4 linked regions of the Anolis sagrei genome follow. The protein of the gene in region 4 purifies or fractionates together with the protein of the main gene of each other region. This does not show direct contact. Links are inferred from orthologs where the notes say so. Each region holds a gene or a part of one and is shown on either strand. Other genes may lie near its edges. The genes, in order: SPDYA, CDK6, CCNE2 and CDKN1B.

Region 1 (7,409 bases), on a different chromosome or scaffold from region 4:
GCTGGCTGGCTCTTTGTCAGGAGGGCTTTGATTATATTTTTTTACCCTGGTGAAGGGAGTTGGACTGGAGTATTTTCTGTTGGTCATGGGGGTTCCGTGTAGGAATTGTGGCCCAATTCTGTCATCGGTGGGGTTCAGAATGCTCTTTGATTGTAGGTGAACTATAAATCCCAGCAACTACAACTCCCAAACGTCAAGATCTATTTCTCCCAAACTCCATCTGTGTTCATATTTGGGCATATGAAACATCCGTGCTAAGTTTGGTCCAGATTCATCATTGTTTGAGTCCACTGTGCTCTCTGGATGTAGGTAAACTACAACTCCCAAACTCAAGATCAATGCCCACCAATCCCTTCGAGTCTTTTCTGTTGGTCATGGGAGTCCTGTGTGCCATGTTTGGTTCAATTCCATCATTGGTAGAGTTCGGAATGCTCTTTGATTGTAGGTGAACTATAAATCCCAGCAACTACAACTCCCAAACGTCAAGATCTATTTCTCCCAAACTCCATCTGTGTTCATATTTGGGCATATGAAACATCCGTGCCAAGTTTGGTCCAGATTCATCATTGTTTGAGTCCACTGTGCTCTCTGGATGTAGGTAAACTACAACTCCCAAACTCAAGATCAATGCCCACCAAACCCTTCTGGCATTTTCTGTTGGTCATGGGAGTCCTGTGTGCCATGTTTGGTTCAATTCCATCACTGGTACAGTTCGGAATGCTCTTTGATTGTAGGTGAACTATAAATCCCAGCAACTACAACTCCCAAATGTCAAGGTCTATTTCTCCCAAACTCCATCTATGTTCATATTTGGAATAGTTGTGCCAAATTTGGTCCAGAAATCATTGTTTGAATCCACTGTGCTCTCTGGATGTAGGTGAACTACAACTCCCCAACTCAAGATCAATGCCCACCAAACCCTTCTGGCGTTTTCTGTTGGTCATGGGAGTCCTGTGTGCCATGTTTGGTTCAATTCAATCACTGGTAGAGTTCAGAATGCTCTTGGATTGTAGGTGAACTATAAATCCCAGCAACTACAACTCCCAAATGACAAAATCAAATTGTTTTGAGTGATGGTCATTCCTTGAGTTAGTAGGTGTCTTGTGGCCAAATTTGGCAGCAATTCATCCAGTGGTTTTTGAGTTATGTCAATCCCACAAACGAACATTACATTTTTTATTTATATAGAAGCCATAGGAATGGTTCTGTGTGCCTTCTGGGTGTTAACTATGCTATTTTTGGAAGAAGTTACTAATTTAGATCTTCAAAAAATGTAACTTTCTGAGTTCTTCAGCTGCTTTCCTCACAAAGTGAGCATAAAGCCAAAGGCCACAAGTCAGTTAGCAACAACGCTCCCTCTTCTCTGATTGGTTGAGAGGCTTCCTTTGGCCCACTACAGTGTCAAGGCCTTCTTCCAGAGAAAGAGACTGAAGAGGCGCTTGAATTTTGATTGGCTGGGACTTGTCAAGAGAGCATCCTGATTGGCCGTAAAATAATGGTAGGTTTGCTTTTTGCCTTAGATGAGGTTGCCAGGAGGAGAGAACATGCCCAGTTGAGGTTTCTGATTGGTGGATCAGAAATCTCCATCTTGTTTGCCATTAGGGTTCATAGGCGTGAGGTAAATATTGACACTGAGCATTCCTGGCAGACAAAAAAGTGTTAATTTTGGCTCACTGACTTTCTTGATGGGAGCGGACCACACAGAGACTTTTCGAGGCGAATTAATTACGAGAATGGCACTATTAAGTTGATCATTCCTTATCCACAATTCCGAAATCGGAAATGGATGAATGGCTTAGAGATAGGGACAACCTTGCTTTCTGATAGTTCAGTGTACACAAACTTGGCTTCCTATACAGCACTATTTAAATAGCAACAACAATAATAATTTATTATCCTCCTTCTTGCAGCTTGTGTATAAAACAAGCATGGGGAAATTTGGCCCCTCTGGGTGTTTTGGACTTCAACTCCCATCATTCCTAACAGCCTCAGGCCCTTTCCTTTTCCCCCTCAGCTTAAGCAGCTGAGGGGGAAAAGGAAGGGGCCTGAGGCTGTTAGGAATGATGGGAGTTGAAGTCCAAAACACCCAGAGGGGCCAAGTTTTCCCATCCATGCCTGGTGCAGACTCATATACTCCATCCAGTTTTGATCTCAAATGTTTCTAGGTTATTCTGGATTATTTTTTTCTTTAGTATTTTACTTTCCAGGTAAGAATAATGGCATTTGCTGGAGATGGCATTGATTGCCGATTGCAAACCGCCTCAAGTCGCCTTCAGGCTGTGAGAGGTGGTATATAAATATGGTTAATAAATAACTAAAGAGAATATAAACATTAAGTGAAAGGAAATATCCACCCGACCCGATCCCCAGAAGGATGCAATCAATTGTAAGAGTGTTACAATTTTATGGTGTGAAAAAGATCTGTGTCCTGGAAGAGGTAAAATAGCAATAATGAAAGTCAAATCTTGGGTTGTTGTAGGTTTTCCAGGCTATATGGCCATGTTCTAGAGGCATTTTCTCCTGACGTTTCGCCTGCATCTATGGCAAGCATTCTCAGAGGTAGGCAAGCATCCTCTGAGGATGCTTGCCATAGACACAGGCGAAATGTCAGGAGAAAATGCTTCTAGAACATGGCCATATAGCTCGGAAAACCCACAACAACCCTGTGATTCCAGCCATGAAAACCTTCGACAATACAAAGTCAAATCTTGCTTTTAATTTATTCTATGATGCAAAATGGTGTTATAAATTGATATGGAAGAGGAACAAATTAAAGGTGGTATAACAAAATTGGCTCAGAATTTACGCTGGATCATACCGATGAAACAATGGGGCAAGGTGGTCAAATGGGCTAACATTTATGTTATGATGTCAAAGACAGTTTTTATAAAATGATGCACCAACAGTCTATGATTCCAGAAAAAAAAGACTAGAATGTGTAAACATATTTCAAAAGTATGGCAGAAGTATGAACAAGCTGGGAGATGTTATCACATGTGGTGGACAAGTGAAAAAGCTACAAAGTTTTGGATTCAAATGCTTAATGCAGTACAGAAGATCTTGAAGGTTTATATTAAGTTAAAGTAATGACCTTGCTCCTATTTATTTATTTATTTATTTATTTACAGTATTTATATTCCGCCCTTCTCACCCTACAGGGGACTTACAGTGTACACATATATGGCAAACATTCAATGCCAATTTTGACATACAACATATACAGACAATACACAGAGGCTATTTAACTTTTTCTGGCCGCCAGGGAAGCTGTCGCTTTTCATCATCCATCCGCGACACTGATGAAGTACTTCCGCATTCCCCGCATGCTTTTTTGCTGGAGTGCTTTGCTGGAGTCTTTTTTTATGGCATCATAAATTAGTTAATTTAGTCTCCCCACACTTTAAGATGGTACCTAATTTTCCTACTTGACAGATGCAACTGTCTTTTGGGTTGCAAAGGTCGACAACAGCCTACACAATGGGTTGGAAACCCACTCCAACCCGGGCTGGTTCAAACTCATGACCTTTTCGTCAGAGTGATCTTAATGCAGCTGACACTCAGCCAGCTGCGCCACAATCCCGGTGCTTAATGCAATACAGAAGATCTTGAAGGTTTATATTAAGTTAAAGTAATGACCTTGCTGCTACTGCTGCTCAAGTTGTTGCTAGAATAAGGTGGCAAATGCACTGACAGTATTGACAGTGATGGAGCAGAACATTTCAGAGGGCTCTGTGAAGGACAGCGAAAGGACAAGATTCAGATAAGAAGTGACAATATGCACAAGCAACCAAACAAAAGATTTGGTTTTATTGATGGAAAGAGAAAAGGCACTTTAAAGAGTCTTTGTGATACAGTTGCTTCCTGATTTTTACAGTGAAGATCAGAAGAAACTAGTGGTGTGATTTCTGGAAGCTGAGATGGTATGGATTTAGGCAGCACAGTTTTGATGATAATAGTAGCAGCAGGAAGACACAATAGACTGTAACAATGATCTTGAGATTCTACAAGTAATTCACAGAAAAAAAATGTTGCCCACTCCTGCCCAGTCTCTTTTTTAGAGATAAAAAGTGGGGTACTACTGCTACTACACTACTACTAATAGGTATGTAAGTTTATTTTTGGATGCCAACAGATTATGAAAATGAATGCCTACAAAAATAAACCTTTCTGAATCAGAAGCATTGAAGTTGCAAACATTGTGTTAAAGTCAGCTATGTCATATTGTCAGACACAATATGAAAATTGTTCAGTATATAAAAGTATATAAAAAGGTATATAAAAGTATCACTAATGGATGGGGATATATAGTTACATCTCCTTAAGATGGAATTGTGCCTTTTTCACCCTCCATTTGGCTAACCTATTTTTTTTTTGCCTTAATAGACAACATCATTTAGAAAAATGAAACATAACCAGAGCTGCTGCCAGACACCTTCCACTATCACTGTGCATGCAAAATCAAGTGCAGCCCGAACCTACAAGCAAAAAAACCCCCTTTGCCTTAAACGTCCTAAATTTAAAGACAGCCAAGAGACCTGTGGGAAAAACATTAATAATAACAAGCCAAAAGGTTCCTGTCTAGTTATTCAGCGCCAAGAAATGACAGCTTTCTTTAAATTATTTGGTAGGTTTTTAGAATGCATTTCATAAAAGTATAGGTATATATGTATCTGCATTATATCACTGTTGCATTTCAATAGCACTTCTCAACACTGAAAGTGGTATTTTGAAAGATCGACAAGACTAACCTAAGATTATTCTGTCAGCTAAAGTGCATGCATTGAAGCTTTAATATCTACATTCATTCCAAGTTTGTGTTCATTACAGCATATTGGTTTTTATGAGGTACTGACATAAAATCCAGTATTCATGGGATATAACTTCTTTCTGTTTGTTAACCTGGTTAGAATATTCCTTCTAGCAAAATGTTTTGTAAGTTACTTCTGAGTTCATGGAAAATGTTGTTTTGATTTGCCTGGAAGTGAAGCAATGGAAAGGAAAATAAATAACCCATGAATAGATATTTCCACTTGGCCATTTTTCTTTCCTTTATACCTAATCTTCTTCAGCTATTATGAAGCAATTCTTTTTTTCCAGACAGATATGCTACTTTCTCTGCACCAAACCAGTTGTCATTTTAAATGCAATTTGATTTCTTTTAGAGATATTTTTAAAACTCATGTTTCCTGAGATTTATCAGAGATTATAGTTGGTATGTCATAGTTGCTTTATTTTACAGATGATGATTTAATTCAAGATTTCTTGTGGATGGATTGTTGTTGTAAAATTGCAGACAAGGTAAAGCTGGTTGTTATCATGAAATTCTTTCCAACTGTAAGGTGGGAGAAAATAAAGATTTTCTGTTTTTATTACAGGCCTAGTTGTGGAGGTTGTTTCCAAAAGGTACGAAATCCTCCCAGATTTGAAAAATGAGTTTATAGGTGGAACCACATGGTTGTTTAGGAGTAGAATATTACACAGAGATAAAAACTATCAAAATAGATCAAATTGTTTTGGTACAGGGCTTGAAAAATTGCATTTTATAGCAAAAGAATGCGTATCCGCAGCATGTTTTTTTTATAATTCCTGTAAAATTTGTTCAGATGGATTTAGTACTTTTTGGATACAAACTTCACAGCTGTGTGTGTGCATATGTGAGTTCCTCATCACACACATGCTATAGCGTGATTTTCAACTGGAATGGGCAAAGTTCAGGCTTATGGGATCTGAACTTTGCAAACATGAAACAGCATCCTGGTGTAAAAAAAAAACCCTATTAAACATACTTGTATATAAAGCAACTTCATATATAAGGCAAGAGTAGGTTCTGAGGTCCAAATTATGGATTTTGCTATTATTTGTGGGTAAGGGAAGTCATTCCATAGAGGTGAGAAAACACCAGGGTCAGCTTAGGGTTCTGCCACCACCACCATTTCCCTACCCAGACATTCAAAAAGGCCTTTTGCCATTCTAGGAGACGGTGAAAACCATTTTGAAAAAAGTTAAAGTATAGTATTACCTCTTTATATATATATATAAAAGGAACCACCCCCTTCTTTGAGAACAGTGGTGAAATGCAACAGCTTAGTCCTCCCTGGGAGAACCTAAAAGGAGCATTGTCCCCTCTCTCCACTTTCTCAGTAGTCTTTTTTGGGGGGAAGTGTCCAAAGAACTGCCATTGCCATTTTCCTGCCCAGGCATTCAAAAAACATGACAAGGCTCATGTACTTTAACAGCTAGCTCTGGAAGTTTTTTGGTGCCATGAAATACTGTAGGGGAAGATGAAGAAAACCCTGGTTATGCTGACATTGGATTTAAAAGAACATGGTTGGATTTTGGTCCAAACTAGTTTTGCCTCTTTAGGTATAGAATTTGTCCTAAATTAGCTGATTATTATTATTATTATTATTATTATTATTATTATTATTATTATCTTCTCCATTTCTATGTCATCTTTCTTCCAGAGTGAGACCCAATGTGGTTTCCAAAACAATTAAAAAGATTAACAATCAAAATGTTAAGACGGTTTTAGTTGTAGAAATTAAAATATTGTTATTCCATTTGGTTTTCAATGGATTTCAGTTTGTATAGCTTCTATGTTTCTGATGTTATAGAGTTGAGGGAGGGGTGGCTCCCTTTTTGTGTATTTACATTTCTTTTTAACATTTTAGCTTGGGCCCTTGTTATGGTTCAAAGAGTTTACAAATCTTCCTGCCAAGCAATGACCTGTTACACCTTACTGCAAATAAGCCATTCAAATCTCTAGATATTTTATTTTAACAGTTTAATGACAAGAGACCATGTCAACATACTACATAATTATGGGCCTGCAGATGTTTTTAGGTTTCACCCATATGTTGGCTGTGCCTAATACATGCTGTAAGTCAAAAGCATCTGAAGAGCCATAGTTGCCACCTTTAAGGTCTGATTATCTATACCAAATTAAATTAATATAAATTAGTTATGTGCTTTTTGTGTTAATGTCACCAATTGATTAAGAGGTGTTTTGTTATCCTAAAAAAAGTAATTGAAAATGGGGGCATAAATATTTTATCTTTCTCAACAGTACCTATTGGCAATGACTTTTGTTTATTTCAAGAGAGCCGGCTACAGTATAAATGAACATACCAGGCTCAATTTCTTTGTGGCTCTGTAAGTACTCTGATTACAACATAAGTGACAAAGTTTTATTCCTTGAGAGAGGCAGTTAAAAACATCTCTGATGCATTGAAGAAATTATTAGTACAGGATCTTTTTTTCAGGTTTACAGATTATAATGTCCTAAATCTGATTGTTAGCTAAAATTAGACAGAACATGATTCTTTAAGTCTACTTTGTCCAGAACTAATGTCACATGCTATGTGTTGAATTTAAGCCAAAGTTTTGATCCAAGTTGTAGGTTTTTCCGG
Region 2 (7,464 bases), on a different chromosome or scaffold from region 4:
CAGTTAAATAATTTTTGACCAAAAACGGGCAACAGCGACTGCATTGTCTGTAGCTTTAAACAATTCTTCCTCTGCGAATGAGGCAGGGCATTGTGGGCAAGCATACAGATGCTGAGTTGTTTATTCTGCCCCACAGTCTAACAAGGTGGAGGATTGGTAGTGCCATTTTGCCAGGTTGTCTTTTGATCTGCCTACTCTGCTTCCAATTCTGTTGAAGGACTTCCAAGTACCCCATTCTTGGTTTGCCCAAATACCCTCATGGGGGGGGGGGGGTCATCCATTTGGGATTTCCTGGTTTAGCTGCCCAGAGGGGATATCTTATCAATCAATAAATAAATTGACATGTAAATTTATAGCAAAGATGGAATAGAGAATAAAAATATTCTGTTTTGACTAATCAATGGCCATCAATTTTAGCATCTATAACTAGTATGGCTATAGACCTCCAATAATGTTTTATACAGCAAAATTGGTCTTTTGTGCAGTTAGAATCTCTTTTCAAAAATCAGAAAACTATTTTAATTGTAATAATGCTTCCTTAATGCATATGTTTTGAAGTTGGCCAATAGTTGCTACATTTTGGGAGAACGTGATCATTAAAGTACATTTAGTTTTGAAAAGTTTTTTGATATTCATTGCTTTTATACTCTTTTTTATAATTTACCTATTCCTTTGAAAATAACAAATAGCCTGTGGAAATAGGTATTGTGTGTCCCTTTGACTGCTAAAAAATGAATATGTTGCTACTGGAAGGTTTTTTCCTTTTCCAATGTGATTTGATAGATAGCAGCTCTAAAAACACTTGCAAAATTTGAAATAATGTTGTACAGACAAAAATTACAATATAACTTATGTATGGACATTTGATCAGTTTTAAAGAAACTTGTGGCTAATGCGGCTAATTTTCCTCCTTATCTGTTTTTATTTTCCTGCTTTTGTTACATTGGAACATTATTGTATGTAAGTGAAATTCCTTTTTGAATATAAATAACATTTACTTTTAAAAAAATAGGATGGGTTAATATATACTAAATCCTCAAGGCATATGTTATCTTCATCCAAGGGAAGGTTGACTGACGTTAATGGAGTTAGAGGTATATTGCCACAGAGATGAAAGATGAAGCTATAGTCACAGGAATGCAGATGGAATGGTTTACATGTGGAAAACACACCTTCCTGTGCTCACAATGAACCTCTTTTTGTTTGGCAGGTTGGCCAAAAGATTCTTAACTGCTATTATTAAACAGGATTTAAGTCATGGGGACTTCCGAGAGCACTGCTGCCTGCCCTTTGCATTCTGATTTCACTTACAAGTACATTAGTAGAACAGTTTACAGTGGGGTCACTGTACATGTTTACATTTATGATTATTTACTAGCCGTCCCCTACCAGGCGTTGCTGTGGCCCAGTCTGGTGATCTGGAAAATAAAGTAATGAGAAAGTATTGGTTTCTAATATATATAATTTCTTTATGCTTGTGTGTAAACAGTATTTCTTGTCGTTTCTTTGTCAGTGTTGATGTAGAGATAGTCTGATTTGCCTACTTTGGAACATGCAAAATATAATTGTCCTTCTTTAGGGGTCCCTTTCAAATCTATGATACTATATCTGTCATATACATATGTGTGTGTGTGTGAATCATATATATCTATCTATATCTATGGCTGGATGGCTCTTTGTCAGGAGAGCTTTGGTTACGTTTTCTTGCCCTAGTGAAGGGTGTTGGATTGGCTGGCCTTAAGGCAGCATTTCTCAACCTGAGGGTCAAGTGGGGTTCAGAATGCTCTTTGATTGTAGGTGAACTATAAATCCCAGTAACGACAACTCCCAAATATCAAGGTCTATTTAACCCAAACTCCACCAATGTTCACATTTCGGCACATCGAGTCTTCATGCCAAGTTTGGTCCAGATCCATCATTGTTTGAGTCCACAATAAAACACAGAATGCAGAGAACAAAAAGTTACATCAAAAAATAGTTAAGTAGCAAAATAAAACAAATAAAGCAAATTAACACAATATAAAATCAAACAGGATGGGCAGGCCAAATGGACGAGATAAAATGATAAAACCCTGGGTGAGGTAGGAATAGAAAATATGTGAGGAGAGCAACAACAACAACAACACTTTATTTATATTCCGCTCTCTCATTCCAGAACTCAAGGTCAATGCCCACCAAACCCCTTTCTGTTGGTCATTGGAGTTCTGTGTGTCAAGTTTGGTTCAATTCCATCATTGCTGGACTTCAGAATGCTCTTTGATTGTAGGTGAACTGTAAATCCCAGCAACTACAACTCCCAAATGACAAAATCAATGCCCCCGCCCACCCCCACCAGTATTCAAATTTGAGCTTATCGGGTATTGGTGTCCAATTTGGTCCAGTGAATGAAAATACATCCTGCATATCTGATATTTACATGACGATTTACAAGAGTAGCAAAATTACAATTATGAAGTAGCAATGAAAATAATTTTATGGTTGGTGGTCACCTGAACATGAGGAACTGTATTAAGGGGTCGCAGCATTAGGAAGGTTGAGAACCACTTATCTAGACACAATGCTCCTATTGATGCAGGCCAAAATCCCATTGGATTTTTAAGCTGCCCCATGACTTTGTTGCCTCATGTTTAACTTGTTGTCCAGGAGGACTCTAAGATATTTTTCACACCTACTGCTGTTGAGCCAGATGTCCCCCATTCTGTATCTTTGCCTTTTTTTCTGCCGAATTGGTGGAGTATCTTGCATTGGTCCCTGTTTAGGTAAGGTAAAGGTTTTCCCCTGACACTAAGGCCTGTCATATCTGACTCTGGGGGTTGGTGCTCATTTCCATCTCTGAGCTGAAGAGCTGGCGTTGTCCGTAAGCACCTCCAAGGTCATGTGACCAGCATGACTGCATGGAGCATTGTTAACTTTCCACCGGAGTAGTACCTATTGATCTACCTACATGTGCATGTTTTCAAACTGCTAGGTTGGCAGAAGTTGAGGCTAACAGCTGGAGCTCACGCCACTCCCCGGATTCAATCCTGCGACCTGCAAGTTGAACAGCTCAGTGGTTTAACCCACTGTTCCACTGTGGCTCCTTGGTCCTGTTTATATTATAAATTACTGCTCCTTGGTCCGGTGGCACAGTGGGTTAAACTCCTGTGCCAGCAGGACTTAAGACCTACAGGTTGGAGGTTTGAATCTGGGAAGAGTGCGGATGAGATTCATCTATCACCTGGTAAAACATCCAAACATCCAGGGTGTCCCCTGGGCAATGTCCTTGCAGTCAGCCAATTCTCCTGTTGCTAGCTCTAGTCTCTGCCAACCTAGAAGTTCAAAAACATGCAAATGTGAGTAGATAAATAGTTACCGCTCCGGCAGGAAGATAACAGTACTCCATGCAGTCATGCCAGCCACATGACCTTGGAAGTGTCTATGGACAATGCTGGCTCTTTGGCTTAGAAATGGAGTTAAGCACCAACCCCCAGAGTTGAACACGATTGGACTTAATGTCAGGGGAAAACTTTTAGCTTTTACCTACTTTAAATTACTTTTGTTCTTTATATATACTGTATGTCCAAACATCCAAAAAAGAATAATAATAACAAGAAGAGTCCCTCTGGAAAAGGCCGGGGCCAATGGGCTCTCCAGGTGTTTTGGACTCCAACTCCCACCATTCCTCACAGCCTCAGGCCCCTTCCTTTCCCCCTCAGCCTTGTAGTTTCACAAGGTCTTCAGCCTTCTGTGCCAAAGCGTATTAGTTCCCCAACAAACTGCAGCAGCCAGGGTTGCATTGCAGAGAGTGCATCTACAGCAGGCATGGGCCAACTTGGGCCCTCCAGGTGTTTTGGACTCCAACTCCCACCATTCCCCACAGCCTCAGGCCCCTTCCTTTTCCCCCTCAGCCTTGTAGTTTTACAAGGGCTTCAGCTTTCTGTGCCAAAGAGTGTTGGCGCCTCACCAAACTGCAGCTCCCAGGGTTGCATTGCGTAGGGTGCATCTACACCAGCCATGGGCCAACTTGGACCCTCCAGGTGTTTGGGGCTCCAACTCCCACCATTCCTCACAGTCTGAATGGTGGGAGTTGGAGTCCCAAACACCTGGAGGGCCCAAGTTGGCCCGGGCCTGCTCTTGTGTAACAAATGTGGACTTTTGCACACCCTGGGAAACAAGCCCACGAGGCAGCAGCAGCAGTTTCAGAAGCTGTGCTCTCCTCCTTCCTCTTCCTCCTCCCAGCTTGGGGTCTCCCCTCTCCCTCCCCCATAATCACCCCCCCTATCGCCCCCCTCTCTCTCTCCTGCCTCCTTGCCGGCGGTATTTGGGGAGAGGGGAGGGGTGGTCTGCCCCCCCCCCCTTGCCTTTTTTTTTGGCCCATGAAGGATTTCATTGAGTGCGAAGACAGAGAGCAGAGACAGAAAGCAGAAGGAGGCGGCCGCTGCCTTTGTAGTCGGGGAGGAATGCGGAAATGTTGAAGCACTATGTCAAACTTTTTTGAAACGGGGTCAAGTCACATTCAGCCAGCGTGGGAAACCGAGGGGGAGAAGGGGAGAAAGGGAAGAGAGAGAGGAAAAGAGAGAGAGAGAGGGAGAGTGAGTGGAGGCGAGTTTGGAGAGGGGGGAGAGAAAAAGAAAAGAAAACTCTTCTGCTCCCAGACTGAGCCACAGAAAGAGAGAGAGAGAGAGAGGAACGGGAACTTTTTTCACAGGCAGGAAGAGTGTCCGTGGGTAGAGTTTGTGAAGGCTTTGATCAGAGTTATTACAACCCCCCCCCCCTTTTTTTTTTCTCTAAGGGAGGAGGAAGAGGAGGAGGAGGGAGGTTTGCGAGATCCTCTCCTTGCATGAAGAAGAGAAGGAGAAGGAGGAAGAAGGAGAAGGTGCCGTTTTGCTCTTCCCGAGTTTGCCAGGAAGATGCGGGTTGAGGAGGAGGAGGCGCTCCGGTGCTGGCGGCTACCTGTGTGGCCCAGGCCGGGTCTGCGGGGAGCCCCAAACCGGAGCAGCACCATGTGAACCTCCCTCCTCCTCCTCTTCCTCCTCCTCCTCCTCCTCCTCCTCCCCTTGACCCATCTGCGTTGGATGGGCAGCCAGATCTTAGGACTTCCCAGAGAGAGAGAGAGAGAGAGAGGAAGCAAGCTGTCCTTTCCTTCCTTCCATCCATCCTTCCTTCCTTCCTCCCACCCCCTGCTTATTCCTCTTTTAATTGTATAGGAGGGGGGGTCCCTTTTATTGCTCTCTCCAAAGACCCCCGTTTGGCTCTGAAGACCGAGGCACCCCTCCGAGAGGAGCTCCCGCACCAACACCAGCAGAAGCGCACGCCAGGTACTTCCTCGGCCCTGAAGTGCCATGTGCTCATCCAGATTGATAGACTCTTTGGTTTCAATGGGGAGGAGGGCTAGTGAGTGGCCGGGCTTGGCTCCGGGAGGGCTCTATGATCCCCCTTTACACCCACCCTCCCACTAACATTCCTCTCATGATCAAAAGGGGGTCTTCAATGGCGAAGGTTGAGTTTGAGGGGTTTTATTACTCCCTTTTGCGCCCAACCACCCCATTGCCCACCTTCCAGACCTCCCTCTGAGCCCCAGGATCATTGACTAAATAGAGGGTCTTAAATAGTGCGGGTTGGCTTTTGGGGGGCTCTATTTTCTCCCTGTACACCCACCCACCCCACTAACATTCCTCGCATGATGAAAAGGGGGTCTTAAACGGCGAGGGTTGAGTTTGGGGAGCTTTATCCCCCCCCCTTTGCACCCAACCACCCCATTGCCCACCTTTCAGACCTTTCTCTGAACCTCAGGATCTAAGGAGGGTTTTAAATAGTGCAGGCAGACTTTTGGAGGGGCTTTATTATCCCCCTGTACACCCACCCATTCCACTAGCTTCCTCTCATGATCGAAGAGGGGTTTTAAATGGTGAGGGTTGGATTGGGGGGGGGGGTTATTACCCCCCTTTGCATCCAACCACCCCTTTGCCCACCTTTCAGACCTTCCTCAAAGTCTCAGGATCATTGACTAAAGAGAGGAGGGTTTTTAATAGTGGGGGTTGGCTTTTGGGGGGGGGGCTCTATTATCTCTTAACAGTCTTCTCATTACCAAAAGGGGGTCTTAAATGGTGAGGGTTGAGCTTGGAGGGCTTTATTACTGCCTTTTGCACCCAACCACCCCATTGCCCACCTTCCAGACCTCCTTCTGAGCCTCAGGATCATTGACTAAATAGAGGAGAGTCTGAAATAGTGTGGGTTGGCTTTTGGGGGGCTCTGTACACCCACCCACCCCACTAACATTCCTCCCCCCTTACACCCACTCATCCTGCTAACATTCCTCTCCAGATCAAAGGGGGGGGGGGTCTTAAATGGCAAGGGTTGAGTTTGGGAAGCTATATTACCCCCCCCCCCCCCTTTGCATCCAACCACCCCATTGCCTACCTTTCAGACCTTCCTCAAAGTTTCAGGATCATTGACTAAATAGAGGAGGGTTTTTAATAGGGGGGAGGCTTTTGGGGAGCTCTATTATCATGAACACTCCTCTCATTATCAAAAGGGGGGCTTAAATGGCGAAGGTTGAGCTTGGGGGGCTTGATTACCGCCTTTTACATCCAACCACCTCATTGACCACCTTCCAGACCTTCCTCTGAACCTCAGGATCATTGACTCAATAGAGGAGGGTCTGAAATAGTGTGGGTTGGCTTTTGGGGGGCTCTGTTATCCCCCTGTACACCCACCCACCCCACGAGCCTTCCTCTCATGATCAAAAGGGGGTCTTAAGGAGGTCTTTACAACCACTGACCCCACTAGCCTTCTCATGATCAAAAGGAGGTCTTAAATGGCTTTATCGCCCCCTTTTACATCCAACCAACCCTCCTCTATTTAGTCAATAGCCCTGATGCTCAGAGGAAGGTCTGGAAGGGGGCTTTATCACCCCCCCCCCTTTACATCCAAGTACCCATTGCCCACCTCCGAGATCTTCCTCTGAGACTCAGGATCATTGACTAAATAGAGGAGCGTCTTAAATAGTGCAGGTTGGCTTTCAAAGTGCTTTATTATCCCCCTTTGGATCCACCACCCCACTAACATTCTTCTCATGATCAAAAGGGGTCTTAAATGGTGAGGGTTGAGTTTGGGGAGCTTTATTACCCCCTTTTACATCCAAACACCCCATTGCTCACCTTTCAGACCTTCCTCTGAGCCTCAGGATCATTGACTAAATAGAGGAGGGTTTTAAATAGTGCAGGTTGGCTTTTGGGGGGGCTCTATTATTTGCCTTTATACCCTCCCACCCCACTAGCCTTCTTCTCATGGACAAAAGGGGGTCTCAAATGATTAGGGTTGAGTTTGGGAGGCTTTATTACCCCCTTTTACATCCAACACCCCACTGCCTATCTTCCAGATCTTCCTCTGAGCCTTGGGATGATTGACTAAATAGAGGAGGGGTGGTTGGATGCAAAAGTGGGTATTAAAGCCCCCCAAATTTGACCCTCGCCATTTAAGACC
Region 3 (7,658 bases), on a different chromosome or scaffold from region 4:
TAAAGTCCTTCTTATAGGGACCCCAAACTCCATCCAATTTTTGCACTATATTTCTACGCCACCTCATAAAGTCCTTTTTATAGGGGACCCCAAAATCTACCCATCTGTGCAGCTATATTATTGTTTATTATTATTATTATTATTATTATTATTATTATTATTATTATATATGATTTTTGAGGGGAAGAAGAATAAGTTCATTCTCTAAGAAGTCACCCCCAATTAGGGTCTTAAGACCCCCCAATTCTCTCACAGATATAGAGGGATCTCCTGCCCCCCTTAAATCAATTCATGCTCCAAAAAAGAGCCCCAAAAGTGTGCTTATCATGGGGGAGACTAATTGCTTCAACTTTTGGGGAAGACACCCCTTTTTCCCGCCTAGAATCCCTTCTATTTCCCCCCATTGAGCCCCCCAAAGGCGGATGGGTTGGGGGACCCCATTATTTCCCCTTCTTTCCCCCCATTCAATTCATTCTCCCTCCAAAACGAAAAAAGCCGGCAAAGTGGAAGGCGGGCAGCCCGCCTTCTTCCCTCCCTCCTTCCTCCTTCCTCCGAAGAGAAGAAAAAACCCTCCAACTCAACACCTTCACCCCCACTTTGCAGGACACCCCTAAATAGAGACACCCACCCCAAAAGAAGGAATTAAGGGGTACCCCTACTGCCCCAACCCCATAATGGGGAGAGACTGCAAAGGCAGGTCTAGGTCTCCTCTGTGGAGCCGCCCTCCTCCCACTCTGCTCTTGACACGCTCCCCAAATGGCCCCCCAAAGGGCGCCCCCAAAGCCCGCACCTCAGCCTCTTCCTCCTCCTCCTCCGCCGCTTGCCGCCCAACTCAGGACTGTCCTCAGCTGGCGCCGGCGCCAAGAGGCTATATAGCGCGGAAAGTGCGCATGCGCAGGCTCATCCCTCCCGTCAGTTCCCGGGCTGCGGATTTCTCCCGCCCAGAGAGAGACCGCGGGACCCCAAAACGGCTCCACATCACAACAATAAGGGACAAATCATCACAAACGCACCGCAATCTGCCTTTCTCCCCCCAATACACTCCTCGTTCTCCTCTCCGCTGTCACTTTTAGGAATAAAGAGGAGTCTGGGGGGAAAGAAACCCCTTTGAATGACTTTTAAATCCAGTTTTTGAGGGGGAAGTGGGGGGATTTGGTGGTTTTGGAGGGAAGCCTAAGGGGAAAAGGGGGTTTCAAGGCCTCCCCTTCCCTTCCAAACATTTACCTCAATACACCCCAAGAGCCAGGCAGAGAGGAATTGTGAGGAAGGGGACACAAACCCCTTTGCAAATAATGAGTCTCTGGGATTTTGATGGGGGGAAACCTGAGGGAAAGAGGGGGGATCCTTTCCCTTTCATGACCCTCAATTCATTTCAATGTACCTCAATGCGCCCCAATGTACTTCAGTGCTCCCCAGTGTATTCCAAGATGCCCCCATGCACTCCACTGTGTTTCAATGCACCCCAATGTACTTTAATGAGCCTCAATGCATCCCAATGTATTTTAATGAGCCCCAATGCACCCCAATGTACTTTAATGAACCCCAATGTACTTTAATGAACCCCAATGTACTTTAATGAGCCCCAATGCACCCCAATACACTCCAAGGCATCCCAATATACTTTAATGAGCCCCTATACAGCCCAATGCACCCCAATGTACTTTAATAGCCCCAATGCGCCCCAATGCACCCCAATGTACTTTAATGAGCCCCAAGGCACCCCAATGCATTTTAATAAGCCCCAATGCACCCCAATGTACTTTAATGAGCCCCAATGCACTCCAATGCATCCCAATGTACTTTAATGAGCCCCAATGCACCCCAATGTACTTTAATGAGCCCCAAGGCACCCCAATGCATTTTAATGAGCCCCAATGCAGCCCAATGTACTCTAATGAGCCCCAATAAACTCCAATGCATCTCAATGCACTTTAATGAGTCCCAATACAGCCTAATGCACCCCAATGTACTTTAATGAGCCCCAATGCACTCCAATGCACCCCAATGTACTTCAGTGACTGTCAGTGCTCCCCAATGTATTCCAGTATGCTCCAATGTACTTCAGTGTACCTCAATTAACTTCGGTGTACTCAAATATACTTCATTGCACCCCAATGTACTCCAATGCACCCCAACACACTCACATGTACTTCAGTACACCCCAATGTAGCTCAATGGGCCTCAATGTACCCCAATGTACTTCAGTGTCCTTCAGTGCTCCCAAATGTATTCCAGTGTGCTCCAATGTGCTTCAGTGTACGCCAGTGTGCCCCAACACACTCCAGTGTACTTCAATGTAACTCAGTGCACCCCAATGTATCTCAATGAACTTTAATAACACTCTAATGCACCCCAATGCTCGTAATGTACTTCAGTGCACGCAAATGTGCCCCAATACACTCCAATGTACTAAAGTGTACTTTAGTGCATCCCAGTGTACTTAAGTGTACCCCAATGGACCCCAATGCTTCCCAAAGGGCTTAAGTGCATTCCAGTGTACTTCAGGGCACTTCAGTGTATTTCAATGAGCCCCAATATACTTCAGGGCACCCTAATAGACTCTAATGCTTGCAATGTACTTCAGTGTATCCCGATGCGCCCCGATACACTCCAATGTACTTTAGTGCACCCCAGTGTACTCCAATGCACCCCCAATGCTCCCCAAAGTACTTGAGTGCATTCCAATGTATCTCAGGGCACTCCAATGAGCCCCAGGGTATTTCAATGCACCCCAAAATACCTCAGGGCACCCCAATGTACTTCAGTGTAGCCCCAATACACCCCCAATGTATCTCAGTGAACTTCAATGTACTTCAGTGCACCCCAATGTATTCCAATGCACCCCAATACACTCCAATGCTCCCCAGTGTACTCCAATGCGCCCCAATACACTCCAATGTATTCCATGTTATCTCTGTGCACCCCAATGTACCTGAGTGGACTTCAGTGTCTGTGGAGGAGCCTCCTTCCATGTCCTGGGAAGGCCTCCGCCCAGAGCCCCGCCTCACGCTGGAGCCGCCAAGGGGAAGAGGAGGAGGAGGAGGAAGAGGAGGCCGCCCAGCCCCTTCTTCCGCGCCAAATGCGCCTCAGCCTCAGGCGGGAAGGTTCAGAGGGGCGGTGGTCACTCCGCCTGGCCAATCCTGACCCACAAAAAGGGACAGCCTTCCTTCTTGTGCCACAACTCATATTTAAATGGAAATCCCAACGCTTCGGTTTCGAGTCGTATCAAATTCCAGGCATAGACTGAAAATAAGATTTTTTTAAAGCACAGGCTGGATGGCCAACTGTCGGGAAGGGTTTGATGGTGCCTCGCTGTGTTCAGAATGGATTTAGACTGCATGGCCCTTGGGGGACTAAGAAACCAATATAACTTTGGGGTTCATGAGCAATCATCCTAAAGGACTCTCCGACTCATGAAAAAAGTGCTTCCAGGTCTAAGGAAACGTGTCATTGTGAAACTCCCGCCATAATGCTTTATGCCTCCCTTTGGGGAAGAAATGTGTCCCCTTTGGAATACATTTGTTGTCCTGACTCGCTCACAATCAGCCCCTCTCAAACGTGGGCCCGCTTTCTGCCCCCCATATTGTCAAACACTAATTGTTTCTCTTTCCTAAGCTTATTTCCCCCTCAACAACCCGCTTTTAGACAGCTGGGCTCCAAGCCCCGCCCCTGGGCGGAGCCTCTACCCGCGCTCTAGCCAATGAGGAAGCGGAAAGGCTCGGCAACGTGGAGCTGTCGGCAGAATGTAAACAAGAGGGCGCTTGAAGGCTGACAGCAGAGAGAGAGAGAGAAGCAGGAAGGAAAGGCAACTGGTTTCACTCAGAAGGGTTTAGACCAGAGTTAAGACAGAGGGGGGCAGAAGACAGTTCCATCTTGTCTCCTGTGCTTTACTAATAATTAATATAATATAATATAATATAATATAATATAATATAATAATATTATATTATATTATATTATATTATATTATATTATATTATATTATATTATATTATATTATATTATATTATATTAATAATATATATATATATAAATGCTCTGTGCATAATGAGTACCTTAAAAACAAAAGAACCAATTAACGAAATCACACCAAATTTGGCAAGAAATCGTCTCACAACACAAGGAATGACCATCACAAAACATTATGATTTTGTCATTTGGAAGTTGTAGTTGCTGGTATTTATAGTTCACCTGCAATCAAAGAGCATTCTGAACTCCCCCCGCGATGGAATTGAACCAAACTTGGCACACAGGACTCCCATGACCAACAGAAAACACCAGAAGGGTTTGGTGGGCAGTGTCCTTTGGTTCTGGAGTTGTAGTTCACCTCCATCCAGAGAGCACTGTGGACTCAAACAATGATGGATCTGCACCAAACTTGGCATGAATATTCCATATGCCCAAATAGGAACACAGATGGAGTTTGGGGGAAATAGACCTTGACATTTGGGAGTTGTAGTTACTAGGATTTATAGTTCACCTACAACCAAAGAGCATGCTGAACTCCACCAACAAAAGAACTGGGGCAAACTTCCCATGCAGAACACCCATGCTTAAGGCCATCCAGTCCAACTCCCTTCACCAGGGCAAGAAAACGTAATCAAAGCACTCCTGACAAAGAGCCATCCAGACATAGATATAGATAGATATGATTCACACTCAGAGAGAGATACAGTATCATAGATAGAAAGGGACCCCTAAAGAAGGACAATTATACGTTGCATGTTCCAGAGCAAGCAAACCAGACAGTCTCCACATCAACACTGATAAAGAAACAGCAAGAAATACTGTTTACCCACAAGCAGAAAGAAATTACATATATTAAAAATGAATACTTTCTCATTATTTTCCAGATCACCAGACTGGGCCACAGCAACGCGTGGCAGGGGACGGCTAGTATAATATAAAATATTGTATATACATATAATATTATAATGTAATACAATATAACATCTTGCACTGAATTTAAGTCCTCCATGACGCACTCCATTCGAGCACTTTAGAGCCAATCGACTAAGCTACTGCACTTTAATTACTTATACCATCGTGTATGTTGATACAATTATCTATCTGCACTTTAAGAACTCCTGCACTTTAAGAACTCCTTTGACAGTGTTAATAGCTACTATCCATGTTACTACCCATTCCCTGGCATCTGTTATTCTTGCTGTTAATTGTTTTTGGTAGAGAGAGGGAACGGAGTAGATCAGAAAGACCGGAGTTTAACATAATAGGAATAGGAAATGAACGGAAGGCAGGACTATGGCATCCTGGAACTATAACATACCATACAGCCAACAATGAATTACGAGTGGATACTTTGGCTGCTGAATGCGTCATGGAGGAGGGAGAGGGTTCCGTTAACCAGGGAGCCCCCATAGAAGTCGTGGTGGGGAGGGGGAGATACGGGAAAGGGAGACCTTTAATTCGGCCTAGGGAATGTGGAACAACATTAGTAATCCCAAATCGGTCTCCTGATATGGTAAGTCGGTGTAACCAGGATGGCGGTCCCTCCGAATTGAAAGTGGTGCTGTTGAACGCAGATCTGTCAACGGTAAAACAACTTTCATCCAGGATTTAATCCTGGATGAACGGGCAGATCTGGCGTGCATCACAGAGACCTGGTTTGACGAAGCGGGAGGTGTAAATTTAACCCAGCTTTGCCCGCCAGGTTTCTCTGTGCAGCACCAACCGAGATCCGGAGGGCGGGGAGGCGGAGTTGCAGTGGTCTATAGAGATTCCATTCTTCTGACCAGGGCTCCCATCCCGCAGTCAACAAATTTTGAATGCGTCCACCTGAGGGTGGGTGACCGGGACAGATTAGGGATTCTGTTAGTGTACCGTCCACCTCGCTGAACTACAGTCTCCCTGCCTGAGCTAGCGGGGGTGGTCTCGGACCTGGCATTGGAGTCCCAACGGCTGCTTGTGCTGGGGGACTTCAATGTCCATGCCGAGGCTGCCTTATCGGGAGCGGCTCAGGACTTCATGTCTACCATGGCAACCATGGGGCTGTCCCAACAGGTATCTGGCCCCACCCACAGTGCTGGACATACATTGGACTTGGTTTTCTGCCAGGGATGGGAGGAAGGTGGCGGTGTTGAGGAGTTATCCATCTCTCCGTTGCCATGGACCGACCACCACCTGGTCAGTTTTAGACTCACTGCACCCCCCAACCTCCACAGAGGTGGAGGACCCATTAAACTGGTCCGCCCCAGGAGGCTTATGGATCCGGATGGATTCCTGACGGCTCTTGGGGAATTTCCCGCCACCTCGGTTGGTGATCCTGTTGATGCTCTGGTCGCTCTCAGGAATGGGGAGATGACTAGGGCAATAGACACGATCGCTCCAGAACGTCCCCTCTCAAGTAGCCGAGCTAAACCAGCTCCTTGGTTCACCGAGGAGCTGGCAGCGTTGAAGTGAAAGAAGAGGGAACTAGAGAGCGTGTGGCGTTCGGATCCGAGCGAGCCAAATCGAACACGGTTTGTGTCCTTTTTAAGGGCATATGCCGCGGCAATAAAAGCCGCAAAGAAGACTTTCTTCGCGGCCACTATTGCGTCTGCAAAGAACCGTCCGGCCGAACTGTTCCGAGTTGTCAGAGGCCTATTAAAACCCGCCACTCAGGATGGGTGCCCTGATGACTCGGCAGCTCGCTGTGAAGCCTTTGCTCGGTTCTTCGCAGACAAAGTCGCTTTGATCCGCTCTGGACTGGATACCATATTAACGGCAGTATCTGAGGATGTAACACGAGCATCTGCTTGTCCGGTTTTGATGGATTCATTTCAATTGGTTCAATCCGGGGATGTGGACAAGGTGCTTGGAGGAATGAGAGCTATCACATGCATCCTAGACCCCTGCCCATCCTGGCTTCTGAAGGAGGCCAGAGGGGGATTGGCCGAGTGGGTGAAGGTGGTGGTTAATGCCTCCCTTCAGGAGGGCAAAATTCCAGCCAGCTTAAAGCAAGCTGTGATAAAACCGCTGTTGAAGAAACCATCACTGGACCCCACTCAATTCGTCAACTATCGGCCTGTTTCCAATCTCCCCTTTTTGGGCAAAGTCATGGAACGTGTGGTGGCCTCACAACTCCAGGCATTCTTGGTAGACACGGATTATCTGGATCCGGCACAGTCTGGCTTTAGGCCGGGGCATGGTACCGAGACAGCCTTGGTCGCCTTAGTGGATGATCTGCGTCGGGAGCTCGACAGGGGGAGTGTGTCCCTGTTGGTGCTGCTCGACCTCTCAGCGGCCTTCGATACCGTTGACCACGGTATCCTTCTGGGACGCCTCGCGGGGATGGGTCTTGGAGGTACTGTTCTGCAGTGGCTCCGCTCATTCCTCGAGGGTCGGTCTCAGAAGGTGTTACTGGGAGACTCCTGTTCAATCCCACAACCTTTGTCTTGTGGGGTTCCTCAGGATTCAATACTGTCTCCCATGTTGTTTAACATCTACATGAAGCCGCTGGGCGAGATCATCCGGAGTTTCGGAGTCCGATGTCATCTGTACGCAGATGATGTCCAACTCTGTCACTCCTTCCCACCTGCTACTAAGGAGGCTGTCGAGGTCCTGAACCGGTGCTTGGCCGCTGTGACGGTCTGGATGGGGGCGAACAAATTGAAATTGAATCCAGACAAGACAGAGGTACTCCTGGTTAGTCGCAAGGC
Region 4 (7,998 bases):
AAGGGAGAAATAGGCGAATTTATTTATTTATTTATTTCTCGCACTTCTACCCCGCCCTTCTCAACCCCTGAGGAGGGACTCAGGGCGGCTTACAAAAAGGCACAATTCGATGCCGGCACAACAACAAGGTAAAAAATAAAACATATAAACAGTAATTAAAACAATTAAAACAATCCATTATACATCACAATTCCTAAAAACAATCTAGTGCTTAACGTTTATCAGCTCAGAGTCCGTAAATTCAAATTCCACATTGTCCAATTCATCAATTCTAGTCATTGCTTGTGCCTTATCTATCCACCAGATTACCCGAAGGCCTGGTCCCAAATCCATGTTTTTAATTTCCTTTTAAAGGAGAGGAGGGATGTCGATGACCTAATTTCCCCGGGGAGTGAGTTCCACAGGTGAGGGGCCACCACCGAGAAGGCCCTGCTCCTCATCCCCACCAATCTCACTTGTGATAGAGGTGGGGCCGAGAGCAGGGCCTTCCCAGAAGATCTTAAACTCCGAGGTGGGACGTAGAAGGAGATGCATTCGAACAGATACGCTGGGCCAGAACCCAGGGTTTTGTAGGTCAAAACCAGCACTTTGAATTGTGCTCAGAACTGGATCGGCAGCCAGTGGAGCTGACAACAGAGGGGTTGTATGCTCTCTGTATGATGCTCCGGTGAGTAATCTAGTTGCCGTTCGCTGGACTAATTGAAGTTTCCGAACGGTCTTCCAAGGCAACCCCACGTAGAGTGCGTTGCAGTAATCTATTTAGGATGTAATGAGAGCGTGGACCACTGTGGCCAGATCAGACTTCGCAAGGTACGGGCGCAACTGGCGCACAAGTTTTAATTGTGCAAAAGCTCTCCCGGCCACTGCGGAGACCTGGGGTTCTAGGCTCAGCGATGAGTCCAGGATCACTCCCAAGCTGCGAACCTGCGTCTTCAGGGGAAGTGTAACCCCGTCTAACACAGGCTGTAACCCTATGCCCTGTTCGGCCTTACGACTGACCAGTAGGACCTCTGTCTTGTCTGGATTCAGTTTCAATTTGTTAGCTCTCATCCAGTCCGACACAGCTGCCAAGCACTGGTTCAAGGTTTGGACAGCTGCCTTGGTGACAGGTGAGAAGGAGTGACAGATTTGGACATCATCTGCATAGAGACAACACCTCATTCCGAAACTCCGAATGATCTCCCCCAGCGGCTTCATGTAGATGTTAAACAACATTGGGGAAAGAAAAAGAAGTCATGTCAAGCAAACCCTTGTCGGGACCACCTTCTATCTGGAAATGTATGTCCTCACTGTGAAAGACCACGCAGATTCAGAACTGTTGGATTTCACAACCTTCTCAAGGCTCCACTAGTTGTTTGTTATGTATATAATTGCTTACTGTATTGTAAATGTGTGTATTGGTTTGCAGTTTTCTTTTGATACTTTGTTGTGGATGGGACTGTAGACCATGTGATCAGGTCTGGGCTTCTTCAGGACTCAGACTCCATTTTAGAAACAGTTCAGTTTAGACTTCAGTGGAAACAGATCTATGCTTTTAGAAGTTAGTTGAAATAGACTACAGAGACTCTATTAGACTCTCAGAACAGAGAGATGCTTTGGACTATGATTCTAAGAAAGATGCTTTGTGTTACCTACGCAGAGACACTGCTTCAAATCTTTTCCTGGTTTGAAAGTATTATTTCCTGTTTAATTGTGTGGCACTTACTTTGAAAGTAGTTGCTATATTCAAGAAACTTCATTTTTGTGGCTGCCACAAACTATGTTGAATTGGTTGAGACTTGAGATATTAAAGGGAAAACTACAGCAAAGGGTGCTGCAGGCTGTCTTTTTCCATGTTTATAGGCTAAGAACCAATGAGCTGGTCATTGACCAATAAAGTGAACTTATTTAATATTATTTATTTATTTACAGCATTTATATTCTGCCCTTCTCACCCTGCAGGGGACTCAGGGTGGATCACAATGCACACATACATGGCAAACATTCAATGCCATAGACACACATATATAGAGACACAGAGGCTATTTAACTTTCCAGCTTCATGAGGGTATGCTTTTTTAATTCTGGCCACTGGGGGAGCTGTTGCTTCACCATCCACTTGTGACACCGATGGAGTACTTCCTCATTCTTTGCACGCTGCTGGAGAGTTTTATGGCTTCATAAATTAGTTAAATTAGCCTCGCCTACATTTCCTACTTGACAGATACAACTGTCTTTTGGGCTGCAAAGGTCGACAGCAAGCTAGGCAAATGGCCAGAAGCTCACTCCGACCCAGGCTGGCTTCGAACTCATGACTCATGGTCAGTAGTGATTTTAATGCAGCTGACTCCTGACCAGCTGTGCCACAACCTGCCACAACTTGAACTTGAATTATGCTGGAACCAATTAGGAAACTACATTTATAACCCAGGAACAAAATTAGTGTTACATAGGGTAGTAATAGAAAAGTTTCAAGAACTGATTGGTGAACAGCTCGTGAGTGCTTAGAAAAGAAGGCTGAGCTGATTTTTAAAGTCTGCGTGGGTTTCTTTAAAATGTGGATGCTGCCAATGTGGCATATCTTCCCTTCAGAAAGTGTTCCGACTAAGGGCTTTATCAGACAAGTGCTTAAAGCAGGCAGCCCCACATTTCTGGCATCTTCTGCCGCATGCAGAGTTCTGGGAAATGTAGTTTGAGAAGGCACTTCTGTATCTGAGAATTCCAAAGGCCCACTACATTTCCCAGAATTCTGCAGGTGACTGATGACTCCAGCACTGAGAGTGCCTTGGACTGCGAGAAGATCCAACCAGTCCATCCTCCAGGAAATAAAGCCCGGCTGCTCATTGGAGGGAAGGATACTAGAGACAAAGCTGAAGTACTTTGGCCACATCATGAGGAGACAGCAAAGCCTAGAGAAGACAATTATGCCGGGGAAAATGGAAGGCAAAAGGAAGAGGGGCCGACCAAGGGCAAGATGGATGGATGGCATCCTTGAAGTGACTGGACTGACCTTGAAGGAGCTGGGGGTGGTGACTGCCGACAGGGAGCTCTGGCGTGGGCTGGTTCATGAGGTCACGAAGAGTCGGAGACAACTGAACGAATGAACAAGTAAGTAAGTAAGTAAATAAATAAATGCCTTCAGGCCCGTAGCTAGGATTTCGTTTCGGGGGGGGGGGGGGGCTGAGTTTTGGGGGGGGGGGGTTGAGTCTGAGTGAAAGAGGGTCTACCCTAGCAAACCTTTTGTATCATTACCCCAATACCCCCATGCATATGGGATATATTGAGTATGGTGATCAGATCATGATATGAATAAACATAACAGTTTAAATAATGCACCAATAAGGCCTTTTCGCGAACCACCATTAAAATTTGGGGGGGGGGGGCTGAAGCCCCCCGAGCCCCCCCCCCCCGGCTACATGCCTGAATGCTTTCACACTACAAGAAAGGCGATTCCATATGAACATGAGGAAGAACTTCCTGTGAGAGCTGTTCAGCAGTGGAACTCTCTGCCCCAGAGTGTGGTGGAGGCTCCTTCTTTGGAAGCTTTTAAACAGAGGCTGGGTGGCTATCTGTGTGTGTGTGTGTGGGTGCTTTGAACGCAATTTTCCTGCTTCTTGCCAGGGGGTTGGACTGGATGGCCCATGAGATCTCTTCTAACTCTAGGATTCTATGATTCCTGCCATAGATGCAGGCGAAAGGTCAGAAGATAATGCTGCTGTTGGAACATGACCATACAACCCGAAAGATTCACAGTGATTCCGGCGACGAATGCTTGAATGGACAACACATTGTCTCCTCATTGTTTGGCTGAATGGAACAGAAGGGTTGTTGCTTTTCTTGTAGATTTTTTCAGGCTATAGGGCCATGTTCTAGAGGCATTTCTCCTGACGTTTCGCCTGCATCTATGGCAAGCATCCTCAGAGGTAGTGAGGTCTGTTGGAACTAGGAAAAGGGGTTTATATATCTGTGGAACGACTGGGGTGGGGCAAAGAGCTCTCTGCTGAAGCTAGGTGTGAATGTTTCAGCTGACCACCTTCATTAGCATTTGAAGGCCTGGCTGAGCCTGGGAAAATGTTCTGTTGAGAGGTGTTAAGATGTGCCTGGTTGTTTCCTCTCTGTTGTTTTGCTGTTGTAATTTTAGAGTTTTTTTAATACTGGTAGCCAGATTTTGTTCATTTTCATGGTCTCCTCCTTTCTGTTGAAATTGTCCACATGCTTGTGGATTTCAATGGCTTCTCTGTGTAGTCTGACATGATGGTTGTTGGAGTGATCCAGCATTTCTATGTTCTCAAATAATATGCTGTGTCCAGGCTGGTTCATCAGGTGCTCTGCTATGGCTGACTTCTCTGGTTGAAGTAGTCTGCAGAGCCTTTCATGTTCCTTGATGCGTGTCTGGGCGCTGCGTTTGGTGGTCCCTATGTAGACTTGTCCACAGCTGCATGGTATCCGGTAGACTCCTGCAGAAGTGAGAGGATCCCTCTTGTCCTTTGCTGAACGAAGCATTTGTTGGATTTTCTTGGTGGGTTTGTAGATTGTTTGTATGTTATGTTTCCTCATCAGCTTCCCTATGGGGTCAGTGGTTCCCTTGAACACCTAGCTTCAGCAGAGAGCTCTTTGCCCCACCCTGGTCATTCCACAGATATATAAACCCATTTTCCTATTTCCAACAGACCTCACTACCTCTGAGGATGCTTGCCATAGATGCAGGCGAAACGTCAGGAGAAATGCCTCTAGAACATGGCTCTATAGCCCGAAAAAAACTACAAGAACCTAGTGATTCCAGCCTTGAAAGCCTTCGACAATACATTGTTGCTTTTTCCCCTGCAAAAACCTGACTAGAGAGCTGCACTCGGTTGTGCTGTTGTGGGTTCATAGCTTGACAAACACGATTGGGCACAAACAGACTGGGAGGGGGAGAGGGAGGCCAGGTCGGGTGACGTCACGCCTGTGTTTGCACCAATGGGGCGGCGCCTCCCTTTAAAGCGAGGGCCCTTGTGTCAATCATCGCCTCCCGGGCCAGCCTCCCTTCCATCGCCATATTGGGCCACTGGGGGGGAAAGAGGCTCGTCCTGCGCCCGCCCCTCGCGGCTTCCCCGCCTTGTTTTTCTCCTTCGGAGGAGCGTTGACATCGGGCGCGGCGGGGCAGGAGCCTTTGGGCTTCCCCGCGTTGGTCTTCCTTCTTCTGCCCGGGGCGGGGGGAGGCTCGGCTTATGCGCGGCGCGGCGCAGGGAGCGCCCCGGCTCCGCGGCGATGTCGACGGTGCGCGTCTCGAGCGGGAGCCCGACGCTGGAGCGGATGGAGGCGCGGCAGGCGGAGGGGGCGCCCAAGCCCTCGGCCTGCCGGAGCCTCTTCGGCCCCGTGGACCACGCCGAGCTGGCCCGCGAGCTGCGACGGCACCGCCGCCAGGCCGAGGAGGCCGCCCAAGCCCGGTGGGAGTTTGACTTCCTCCGCGAGCAGCCCCTCCGAGGGCCCGAGCCGCGCTTCGAGTGGCGCGCCCTGCGCAAGGACGCCCTGCCCGACTTCTACAGCCGACCGCCGCGGCTCGCCCGACGCCCCGCAGCCAGCCCGCCCCGCAGGCACCACTGCAAGGGACTCTCTGCGCACAACCAGGAGGAGGAGGAAGAAGAGGAGGAGGAGGAGGACGGGGTCCCCGAGGCAGCACGAGCGGAGGAGGGCCAAGGCCCGCCCAGTTCGAGGAAGCGGCCCGTCTCGGACGGTAAGCGCCCAGCCTCCATTCTCTCCTGCTCCCCGAGCACATCCGGGCCTTTTCTGCTCCAGGGTTACCAAAGCCCTTCCTTCTCCTTCAAACAACAACTGGCAGGTAGCAGAGGAAGCAGGTCTCTGCTCTTTGGATCCCACTTGGGTTGTCGAAAGCTTTCACGGCCAGAATCACTGGTGTGTGTGTGTGTGTGTTTGTGTTTTCCGGGCTGGAGGGCGGTGTTCTAGGAGCATCTGTGGCTGGCATCTTGAGAGGATCTGATCCTAGAATCCTAGACTTGGAAGAGACCTCAGTCCAACCCCCTGTCAAAAAGCAAGAAAATTGCATTCAAAGCACCCCCGAGAGATGGCCATCCAGCCTCTGATTAAAAGCTTCCAAAGATTGAGCCTCCACCACACACTGGGGCAGAGAGTTCCACTGCTGAACAGCTCTTACAGTCAGGAAGTTCTGACTAATGTTCAGGTGGAATCTCCTTTCTTGTAGTTTGAAGCCATTGTTCTGTGTCCTAGTCTCCAGGGCAGCAGAAAATAAGCTTGCTCCCTCCTCCCTGTGGCTTCCTCTCACGTATTTATACATGGCTGTCATGTCTCCTCTCAGCCTTTTCTTCAGGCTAAACATGCCCAGCTCTTTAAGCTGCTCCTTATAGGGCTTGTTCCCCAGACCCTTGATCATTTTAGTCACCCTCCTCTGGACACAGGTATGTAGCCAGGGGAGGCTTGGGGGGCTGAAGCCCCCCCCCCCCCAAATTCTCATGGTGGTCTGCGAAAAGGCCTTACTAGTACATTCTTTAAGCTGTTATGTTTATTCATATCATGATCTGATCACCATGCTCAATATATCCCATATGCATGAGGGTATTGGGGTAACGATAGAGAAGGTTTGCCAGGGTAGACCCCCCCAGACTCTGCCCCCCCTCAGACTCAGCCCCCCTCAGACTCAGCCCCCCTCAGACTCAGCCCCCCCAGACTCAGCCCCCCTCAGACTCAGCCCCCCCAGACTCAGCCCCCCTCAGACTCAGCCCCCCAGACTCTGCCCCCCCAGACTCAGCCCCCCCAGACTCAGCCCCCCTCAGACTCAGCCTCCCCCAGACTCAGCCTCCCCCAGACTCAGCCTCCCACAGACTCAGCCTCCCCCAGACTCAGCCCCCCTCAGACTCAGCCCCCACCCAGACTCAGCCCCCCTCAGACTCAGCCCCCCCCCAGACTCAGCCCCCCCAGACTCAGCCTCCCCCAGACTCAGCCTCCCCCAGACTCAGCCCCCCTCAGACTCAGCCCCCCTCAGACTCAGCCTCCCCCAGACTCAGCCCCCCCCAGACTCAGCCCCCCCCCCCAGACTCAGCCCCCCTCAGACTCAGCCCCCACCCAGACTCAGCCCCCGTGAACCAAACTCAGCCCCCCCCCCCCAATCAAAATCCTGGCTACAGGCCTGTCTGGACACATTCCAGCTTGTCAATATCTCTCTTCAGTTGTGGTGCCCAGAATTGGACACAATATTCCAGGTGTGTTCTAACCAAGGCAGAATAAAGGGGTAATAATAATAATAAACTTTATTTCTGTACCACCCTATCTCCCCGAGGGGACTCAGGGTGGTTTACAACAGAAAATTGGCAAACATTCAATGCCGGCATAACATAACAAACAAATCAAATCATAAACAATAAAATAAATAACATCAGGTGTACTTATAGAACAACTCAAAAATAACAAACTTAGACATTTAAATATATAAATCAAACATTTAGAACATGTTTACTACTAGATCTAATGATAGCAACCACTCAAAACATTAAAAGTAAAAAGGCATTTACAAGTCAACAGGGCTGAGGTGGTGTCCAAGTCAGAGTGATTAAGGTGCCGACCGAATAAAATTATTATAGGACCTATAGAGGTCTAGTTACCATCCCCCACCCACACCCGCCTCCCCATAATATCCACCCCTATTCTTTATGCCCTCCCAGAGGTTCCCAGATCCTCACAATTAAGGAGTCCTCTGAATACTGTTTAAGGACAGGAATGCAACCCAGCTCTTCATGAGGGGTATAAACTGTGGTATGAGGTCTTTTGGGAGGCAGGTGTTTTTTCTTGTGATGGTGAGGTCTCTCTATCCATGTTGGTAGAAGTCTTATAGTGCCAAGATCTTATTGATTGGCTTAACATAGTTGGATTGCAAAGCAGACTCTGGGTCTAGTGCTGGGTATCATGACCTCCCTGGACCTAGACACTATACTCCTATTGATGCAGACCAAAATCCCATTGGCTTTTTTTTGCCGCCGCATCACATTGTTGGATCATATTTAACTT

Evidence for each region.
Region 1: the proteins of CDKN1B (region 4) and SPDYA purify together in Homo sapiens (affinity purification with western blotting; 3 studies listed by BioGRID). This does not show direct contact. The link is inferred for Anolis sagrei from reciprocal best matches to the Homo sapiens genes CDKN1B and SPDYA.
Region 2: the proteins of CDKN1B (region 4) and CDK6 purify together in Homo sapiens (affinity purification with western blotting; 8 studies listed by BioGRID and IntAct, counting the BioPlex papers as one, with this or other methods). This does not show direct contact. The link is inferred for Anolis sagrei from reciprocal best matches to the Homo sapiens genes CDKN1B and CDK6.
Region 3: the proteins of CDKN1B (region 4) and CCNE2 purify together in Homo sapiens (co-immunoprecipitation; 5 studies listed by BioGRID and IntAct, with this or other methods). This does not show direct contact. The link is inferred for Anolis sagrei from reciprocal best matches to the Homo sapiens genes CDKN1B and CCNE2.

Annotation. Positions count from the first base shown.
Region 1 is NC_090021.1:42,727,916-42,735,324, reverse strand, and holds the start of SPDYA (speedy protein A), read left to right. Parts: upstream 1-4,392; 5' UTR 4,393-4,401; coding exon 4,402-4,624; intron 4,625-5,239; coding exon 5,240-5,298; intron 5,299-7,066; coding exon 7,067-7,152; intron 7,153-7,409. UniProt on the Homo sapiens protein: Regulates the G1/S phase transition of the cell cycle by binding and activating CDK1 and CDK2.
Region 2 is NC_090026.1:102,370,924-102,378,387, forward strand, and holds the start of CDK6 (cyclin-dependent kinase 6), read left to right. Parts: upstream 1-4,459; 5' UTR 4,460-5,297; intron 5,298-7,464. UniProt on the Homo sapiens protein: Serine/threonine-protein kinase involved in the control of the cell cycle and differentiation; promotes G1/S transition. Phosphorylates pRB/RB1 and NPM1.
Region 3 is NC_090024.1:33,594,610-33,602,267, reverse strand, and holds the start of CCNE2 (G1/S-specific cyclin-E2), read right to left. Parts: upstream 3,011-7,658; 5' UTR 2,933-3,010; intron 867-2,932; exon of another isoform or gene 788-866; intron 1-787. UniProt on the Homo sapiens protein: Essential for the control of the cell cycle at the late G1 and early S phase.
Region 4 is NC_090025.1:101,981,497-101,989,494, forward strand, and holds the start of CDKN1B (cyclin-dependent kinase inhibitor 1B), read left to right. Parts: upstream 1-4,987; 5' UTR 4,988-5,229; coding exon 5,230-5,695; intron 5,696-7,998. UniProt on the Homo sapiens protein: Important regulator of cell cycle progression. Inhibits the kinase activity of CDK2 bound to cyclin A, but has little inhibitory activity on CDK2 bound to SPDYA. Involved in G1 arrest. Potent inhibitor of cyclin E- and cyclin A-CDK2 complexes.